Saccharomyces cerevisiae S288C: one gene and its partner. The protein of the gene in region 2 binds, or shares a complex with, the protein of the main gene of each other region. Each region holds a gene or a part of one and is shown on either strand. Other genes may lie near its edges.

What was found.
Region 1: RSC1 (region 2) and RSC6 share a complex: the UniProt entries of both Saccharomyces cerevisiae proteins name them as parts of the two forms of the RSC complex.

The regions. Positions count from the first base shown.
Region 1 is NC_001135.5:213,028-217,079, reverse strand, and holds RSC6 (Rsc6p), read right to left. Parts: upstream 2,087-4,052; coding exon 635-2,086; downstream 1-634. Other genes in the region: threonine synthase THR4, read right to left, coding at 1-383; YCR051W (uncharacterized protein), read right to left, coding at 2,341-3,009; YCR050C (uncharacterized protein), read left to right, coding at 3,308-3,616; ARE1 (sterol acyltransferase), read right to left, coding at 3,319-4,052. UniProt on the Saccharomyces cerevisiae protein: Component of the chromatin structure-remodeling complex (RSC), which is involved in transcription regulation and nucleosome positioning. RSC is responsible for the transfer of a histone octamer from a nucleosome core particle to naked DNA.
Region 2 is NC_001139.9:599,666-604,169, reverse strand, and holds the start of RSC1 (RSC subunit protein RSC1), read right to left. Parts: upstream 2,510-4,504; coding exon 1-2,509. Other genes in the region: MUP1 (Mup1p), read right to left, coding at 3,029-4,504. UniProt on the Saccharomyces cerevisiae protein: Component of the chromatin structure remodeling complex (RSC), which is involved in transcription regulation and nucleosome positioning. RSC is responsible for the transfer of a histone octamer from a nucleosome core particle to naked DNA.

The DNA.
Region 1 (4,052 bases), on a different chromosome or scaffold from region 2:
AAAGCAACGTCTTTGAAAGCGTAGGTAGGACCGTGGAATAATTCTAAAATGTGCAAATTCTCCTTGTCACCAGTGACGTTTTGCACCAAGGGGGTGACTTCATCAGAACGGAAAGTAGAATAAGATCTCTTGATCAAGTCCTTTAGATCAGCATCTGGAATCTCTTCTTGGGCAATGTATAGTCTCATGATAGCAAAGGCTAAGTCTTGGAAGGAGAGCTTTGACCAATCATTGAAAAGAGTGGCTTGGTCCACTTGTGGAATAGTTGGTGGAATGAAAAGACCACCGTCAGTGGCCAGACCTTGAATGATAGCCTCTTCAAAAGAGATTGTCTTTGGAGAGCTGGATCTGGTAGATCTGTAAACTTGGGAAGCGTTAGGCATTGGTGTGAGGGATGGTGGCCGTCTAAGAACAAATATTTGCTGCTATACTACCAAATGGAAAAATATAAGATACACAATATAGATAGTATTAAAAAAACGTGTATACGTTATTGATAGAAATGACTATACATTTTGTCGAAAATTTTTCATTTTCTTCTATTTCCTCGTTGTAATGACTCTTTTGTTCGCACGGTCACTACTCACGAGGAGGCGTGCAATAATTGCAGAAAGAATGAGATCATACAGTGATGTTATAGTCTTCCTTGGGAGTACAGTAGTGAGATATTGCCCATTAGTGACCTGTCATTGTTGTTGTTACTGTATATGTCACTCGTTCTTGCAGCATCTTCATTGAAGTATTGGTCGCCCTGCAGCACAAGCTCGTTTTGCTTGGAAGACCATAAGTAGTGAGTCAGCGTTTCTCTTGGATGCAAAGACAGTTCGTGGAAAAACTGGTATTTTTGAGCACTAGAGTTCAACTGCAAGGCAAGCTTTGTGATTTCACGTAGTTTTGCTGTGTCTTCAGCATCTGTTTCTTCCTCTTTTTGTAAATTTGGCTGGGGTTGAGGCTGGTGGAGAATGTGCGACACATCTACATCCAAGGTGGTAGCACCATAGGTGGTATCTTTGGAAAGATCAATTGTATAATCTAGGATGATGGGCGGTAGGGGTGATACCAGTTTGTTCACGGTTTGCACAACATTCATCAAGGGGAGGTGCGCGGCGTTTGTATCCAATACCTTTTGTAAGAGTGAATCTAGCTTCACTTCACCCAATTCGGGCTTATCCTTTGGAGTACTTCCCTCGACGCCATCATCGTCACCAGCACCGTTTTTATTGTTATTCTCGTTACTGCTGTCTTCGGCATCGTTGGAACCATCTTGAGCCTCTGTTTGTTCCGTAACAAACAGATTGTTGATCAAAATGTACTTGTAGATCGAATAAACCGCGTCATTAACGGAGCCCGTTTGCATACCTATCAAGGTAGCTAAGTTGGGCGAGTACTGTACTTTTCCACCGTCGACACCCCTCAACTGGATGGTTATACTGCATCGCAAATTATCCTTGCCTTGCCTCTTGATGTCGATACCATCAAACTCCACAACGTTGTTTTCATCGTAGTTCCATTCCAGTGCGTCTACAATTTCCTCCCTGGATTCTGCCTCTGCACTGTCCTCATCCTCGCCGTTGTCGTTATCGCCCATGGTGCTATCTTGATCATTGTATTCGGGTTGTTGCAGATTCAAAGGAAGGCTCAATGACGAATCGCGTTTCCTCTTCTTGCCCATGCCCAGCGGTTTCAGTCTTTTAAAGTCGACCGCGACACCTTCCAAAAACTCACTAAATGGGTGCTTTCCGTTTGCGGACTCGTGCAGAAGCTTACCTTCTATTCTCAGTGTCCATGTAGTCTTGCCTGAGTCCGCTGGGGTGCCAGAATCGCTGCGAGGGCTGCTTTCCGTAGTGTTGTAGACGTAAATCCTCAGCATCTCTTTATTGGGGGGATGGTCCTTGGTCTTGGTGTTTGTAGGTAAATTGATGGACGTATCCAGCCTCCTTCTTGTCAGATACAAATCTAGTCTGGAATCCATTTCTATCAATTTTTTCAAATCTGCCAGATTGGAGACCTTATCATCGGGCAGATACGTGGGGATATAAGCATCCGTTGGATATGTAACAGGGACCGGATTGGTCTGTGTTACCATTTCTATGAGCTGTTTTTCGTGCTGTATTACTATACGAAGCTGCCTTGTGAACTGTATATTTGTTGCTTTTCTTTCACTCTACAACGTTTTTTTCATTCTATTTAAAAACGCGGTGAAATTTTACCTTGTAAGAACGTCTATTAATGTACAGAAAAGATACATAAGGGAAAAGACTATGTAAGAGAAAGAAGTAGTTCATGTAGCGTCGCGTTCAATTTCTTTTAGCAAGCTGTAAGAGCCTTTGTGCTGGGTCGTTATTTTCTTCTCTTGGAATCTGGTTCGTCCCCGGAACCCGCCATGGAGCCCTGGCCCAGCATCTGCTCTCTGACCATAGCACGGATGTACCTTTCCAACTCCTCCTCAGCGTTGTCTCCCGTAATGATCTGTTCCAACTGCCTCCTGCGTTGCAGAGTGGCCTCATCGGCTCCTTCCTCAGGGTCATTTTCCAAGGTGTATCTCACGTTGTCCTTGAACTCTTCCAGCAATTTGCTGTCGATGACACCCTCACCCTGCACGCCGTCCACTCCGTGAACATCGGCCACGCCGGACTTAATCCTCATGTACTCGATTAGCTCACCATCTTCACCGTTCTCGACGAACGAGTCGTATGGCGTTTGGCCCTCCACATTCCTGATAGTGAAGTCTCCACCCAGCTCTTCCACGATCAACCTGGCAGTGGCCACATCCTCCACATGGTGCAACGGGGTATCGCCGTCGTTGTCCAACACATTAATGTCTCCATTGTACTCATTGCACATTTTCTTCAGCAAATCCAGGTGGCCGTATGCGGCGGCAGCATGCATTGGAGTGTAGCCGTTAATGTCCTTGGATTGCGGGGTCATGGCGCCTTTACTCTCGCGGAGGATATGTTCCACTCGGTCCAAATTACCATCTGAAGCAGCCACCCATATATTAGCGTTCATTTTGTCGTCACAACACCTATAATCATCGATTTTTGTCACCTGCAAACTCTTCTTGTTCTCAATTATATCAAAGGCATCGAAAATTTTTGGGGTTATGACAAGGAAAAAAAAAGTATTACCCGAAACTTAAACAATGAATGGTATATACTATATTGTAAAGTTCTAATAATATATATAAATATGTATATAGATATATATATAGACCTAGGAGCTCTTTGCCCCTGTCTTTGACCACGGTGGAGCGGACGCCCATTCCCTATTGTATATCTATCAAGGGCTTGCGAGGGACACACGTGGTATGGTGGCAGTTCATAAGGTCAGGTACAACGTCATAATGATACTGGGCCCTGAACAGACACCAAACGAAAAGACAACGTTGGACAACTGCGGTCTTGCCCGTAGAAACTTGGTGTTGCTCAAAGCAGTCCACACAAACTGCGACAGTTGGAACATGAACAGATATCCTCTAACCCTTCTGAAAATGGCGAACATGGCCATTTCGTGGAACACGGCACTCAAGAAAAAAGTAAATAATGTAGCTTGGCTCTTGCTCAAATGCAATGCGCCCATGGAGCTGTGGTACACGTGTCTTAGTAAAAATTTGTGAACGGGGACGTTCCAGATTCTGCTAAACTCTTCAAACGAAACGCAATTCCACCAGTCGCCGTAGAAATATCTGTCCGCAAACCTGGTCAACTCCGCCACGCAATTCAATAAAGCGTCCCATATCATGTAAAACGTGAGCATGTACAGAACAGTGAAGCCCGGAATCATGTCGAAGAGCAGGTGGAACCACTCTTGCGTGGCGGGGATCCAGCCGCCGAAGGTGGGCGTGTTGTGGAACTGGATACAGCGCATGGCCACCGGGTGCATGAAGAACTGTGCCGTGACCATCATGAGGAAGATGGTGCCAATGATGGCGCACACCTTCTCCAACACATACCTCCATCTGATGCGCGACGTTCTTGGGTAGTTGATCTGGTACACGAGGACGGGGAACAAACAGAACATGAAGAAATTGCTGCAACTGATGTTGTTGGGGA
Region 2 (4,504 bases):
TCATATCTTCGCTGAAGTCATTTGGTGGTTCCATAACATCTTCTTCAATGTCTTCGTAATCCAGTTTTCTCCTTTTGTTTTTACAGAACCATCTATTCAAAGGTACCCGTACTAAATCATTTCCGGAATCAATAACTCTCTCTGTGATTTTTACACCGGGCCCTTTGAACCATATTATTTGCTCATTTGCAGTATTTATGTCATTAATAGCAGTATTACCGAGATTTTGAGCGTTTTTTAGATTTGATCTACTGAAACGTTCTGTCGATTGGATGGTTCTTATATTTTTTTCCATTGGTACAGGAACCACAAATGCACCCGGGGCTTCAATAACAATATGGTTGAAGTTGTACTTCGAGGTATGAGCAGTTAAGGTATTAATCATTGAGGATAATGTAAAACTTTTAGATGCAGGCTTTTTGGGAGCTGTTGATGATAGCTGTGTCTGTTTTTTTGCACTATGGTATTTAGAGCGACTACTCTGTTCTAATAAAGAGGGCGATTGAAACTTAGGAACGGAAGGATGTGATAGTAAATTATGAGAACTATTATTCATGTTTTCTAATTTCAAAAAATTGGAAGTCTGATTGAAGTTCTGATGCAATAGTGGAGTATTTGATGAGGACCTGAAATTGGAGCTGGGAATTGATTTAGTCTGCTTTAAAGTGGGTAAACGTATTGTGGAGGAACTGTTCACTCTGGGCATACTGCTTGTGGTTAAGGTATCTGTAATTATTGTTCCTGTTTCGTAATCTATTTTACCTTCTTCTGGTGGATCATTTGGTCTGATTATGTATCGAGGGCAGTCATCAGAAGTTGAATACTCTCCCAGATCATCCCTCTCTAATTTGGGGCCTAAATATACAGCGCCTACCAAAGGTGGGGCAGTTGGGGCTCCCTCCGTGGGTTCTGGAACTTTGTCATTTAGAGTTGCGTTTGCTGGTAACAAATCTGCTATTGGAGAAGGGTATTTAAAAAATTTTCTTCCATTAACAGGTATCGTAGGCTCATCTTGGTCACGGAGTTCTTCCGGCAGGCAAGCTTTCCAAGTCCTGATTTTGTTGAAAACCTTATCACTTTCATTATAACGGAATTCGCAAACAAATTGAGGACCATTGACTTTCGTGCTAGGATCCCCACGCTGGAATCTGGTAAAATGAATAACGTAGCACTTTCCCTTAATATCCTGAATAGGATGATCTCTATATTGACCAGTTTTCATGACCTCATTCTTGTAGAATAACCTATCCACCCGATGAACGGTTTGTTCTGGCCTAAAATACCAGCAAGCATTCAACCATTTGTTTCCATCTGTAGTAGACCATAATCTAAAAATCTGGCCAACAATGGGTTTATTGATGTCGTTTGGATTATGTAAAAGAACCCAATCACCTATCTGGTATTTCTCATCATTGATTTCTACATCATCTAGAGGATATCTTAATTCACCTTCAGGTAAATAGTCTTCATCAGGTTTGGATAATTCAATTCGCACTAATCTATTGAAGTTTTTCTCCAATAGTTGAGCTCGTATTATATTGCTCTGATCTTGAGAATAATAAAGCTTAAAATTTGTTAGCATTAATTGAAAGTCTTCCTCAAAAGTATGGAAATTTCTATATTTTCTGGACTTAACCTTTTTCCTAATATCCATTAGACAAATGGGATCTGTTATGACAGAGTAATAGGTTGGCTCCTCGTTTCTATCTGGTAGTTTTTCAAAACAGAGGGTAAGCGTCTTATTATTTTGGTCGACCTCTCTTCTCATCATCTTCAAGATATTCTTAATCCTCAGTACATAGGGTAGATCAATTACTGGTGGTCTACCGCGTCTAACATGGGTTTTGGGATGCGCCGAGGTAATATTTGCATAGTTAACAACTGGAGTAGGTGAAGCCAGCGGCTGCGGTGTTATAGAAGCAGAATGGGTTGGAAACGCTGGTGAGTTTTTTTGTTGCATCCTGTAATCTTGGTTGGTTGGTTTCCTTTCAGTGATCGAACTATCTAGTTTTGCGAAAGCCATTTTCATCTCTGGATTTAAGCCAGCCTTTTCATCATTTTCCTGTGTATTAATGGGGTTCGAGGATAAATCGGAGGGTTGCATACTCTCTGCGAATATTTCCGGAATTCGACCTAGAGATGGATATGTCACCTCGGGATAATGTTTTCTTATATTGTGCACGATCTTTCCTTTAATAAAAGACTCAAGAAGAATGGCATATTTGTAAATTACTGAATCTTTTGCATTGTATGTCATTGCATTCCAAGGAATTTGCGCAAAATCGTTAACAAAATCTTGTGGCGATGTATAATGGGGCAATCGTTTCTTTAAAGTGTTTAAAGATATCGGATTCCTTATTATAATGTAATAGTCTGGATATTCTTTTTTAGGTGGCAGTACATTGAATATTGGATATATTTCTATACCATTTTCATCCTTTAAATGGAAGACAGCATCGTATTGTGTTTTGAGTAGCTTCTGTAAAAACCCATTATCTTGCTCCACCATGCTTGAAATATAATTTTTTTTATCTCTGTTTTGTAGCTAGGGCACTTCACAGATTTTCCCTTCGCTAATACCACACTGTTCCGCCAACTCAGCTTAATTTCAGTTGTAACTCAATTGGGCCTTTGATTAATAAAAAAAAAAGCTTTCCCGAGACAACAATCACTATTGACGGAAAGAGGGTAAGGGAGCAATAAAGAACTATATAAAACGTTAGACAAACGATTTTATAGAGCGCTTATCTGTGTTTATAGCGTTGCTGATAGATTTAGTTAATTCCAATTTGAATCTATCTCATCAGCAATTCATGATATTGCTTTTTCTTAGTATGCTATTTTGATTTCGCGCAATAGTAGGTATAAAAATTGAAAAAATACGAAACGGAATAGCATCTTAAACTATTAAATGGCAGAAATTATAATGAGGTTTGGTACCTATATATTTTGTATAAAGAAAATGCAATTATAAGAATGTTCATACGTGATTATAAGAATCGAGATGAGATGGTAAGTACCTTTTTGGTTACAGCGATTTTTCTTGTTCACTTTTGTAATGTTCGATTATATTCGTTTCAATAACGCCGTCTTCTTGTGTATCGACATCGCCAATAGTGTCATCATAAACTTTGGCAATTTTGACTCTCCAGAACCCATCTTCACCAAGCACATCCTTGGAAACCAATTTGTAGTGGCCCCATCTTGGCAATAATTGGGCCCAAACAACGTAGTAAACACCACCAAAGAAGAAAATACCCCAAGCAATTACACAGTGGATCCAGTATGGCATGCTTGAATACACCGACTCGCCATTTGAAGGTGGAACGTAAGGAGCAATAATCAGGTATAAATTGGATAATGTGAAAAATCCCGTAACAAAAACACCGGCCTTAATTGGTGGGTTCCATTCAATTTTACCTTGTCTACGTTGCCAGTATATCCAAAGCAAACCCGCGCTAATGGCAAAATTAATAATATTCATTGGGTAGGAAATTAAATTTTGGACTAGCAAATATGCATCACCTGGAGGTGGGGCTAAAATGGTTACTGTACAAACAATAAAATGTTGAAACAAACCAACCATTGGGGAGTTGAATGGCTTAGAAGAGGCAAAGAAATTAGAAAAGGGCAACACACCTTCACGTCCTAGTTGTTGAATAATTCTACCCTGAGAAAAAATGACAGAAAGAACATTTCCTAAGGCACTCAACCCGACCAGTGCGGCTGCTGCTCTCTTGGCTTGGCCGCCAAACACAATATCGAAGAAGTCAGCAGCTAAAATCAATTTTGAAGAAATTAACTTATCTTTTGGAACCACAGCGAAGTAAGCAATGTTCACAAAAATGTAGATTATAGCCAAGAAGACCATCGATGTAGGACCAGCAATCTTCAAAGTTCTCACAGGGTTCTTAACTTCACCAAGTGCATAGTTAACATTGGAGTAACCGACAAACGACCAAATAACACTATATAAGGCGTTAACAATACCATAAGCAGTGGCGGTTTCAGTACCTTCAAAAGCATTACGAAAGTTGTGAGATTGATAACCATCTTTGAGACCACCGCCAAGGGCAACCCAACCGGTAATAGAAATGAAGAGGACAATACCAATCTTGAAAATACCTAAAATGTTTTGCAAATATAGACCAATCTTGACATTCAGAGAATTAATTAGGAATGCAAAAAAAACGACGGCCACACCAATACCTCTTTGATTCCATTTGGTCACTTCAGTATCAGCAGCAGTTAAAAACATAATAGCTGTATTGATGGAATTACCAGCAGCCCAACCTAGGAAGAAAATATACGCAGCATACATACAGGTAATGAAGAATTTTGGTTTCCTGAAAATAGCCTCCAGGTAGTTTTTTTCACCACCATTTTTCGGTATAGCCGTACCGAATTCCATGTATACATATAACCCAGAAATGGCAATAATGGCGCCAACTGCCCACATAATTAATGCAAGCCCCACAGACCCACATAGTGTGTAAATGGTCGA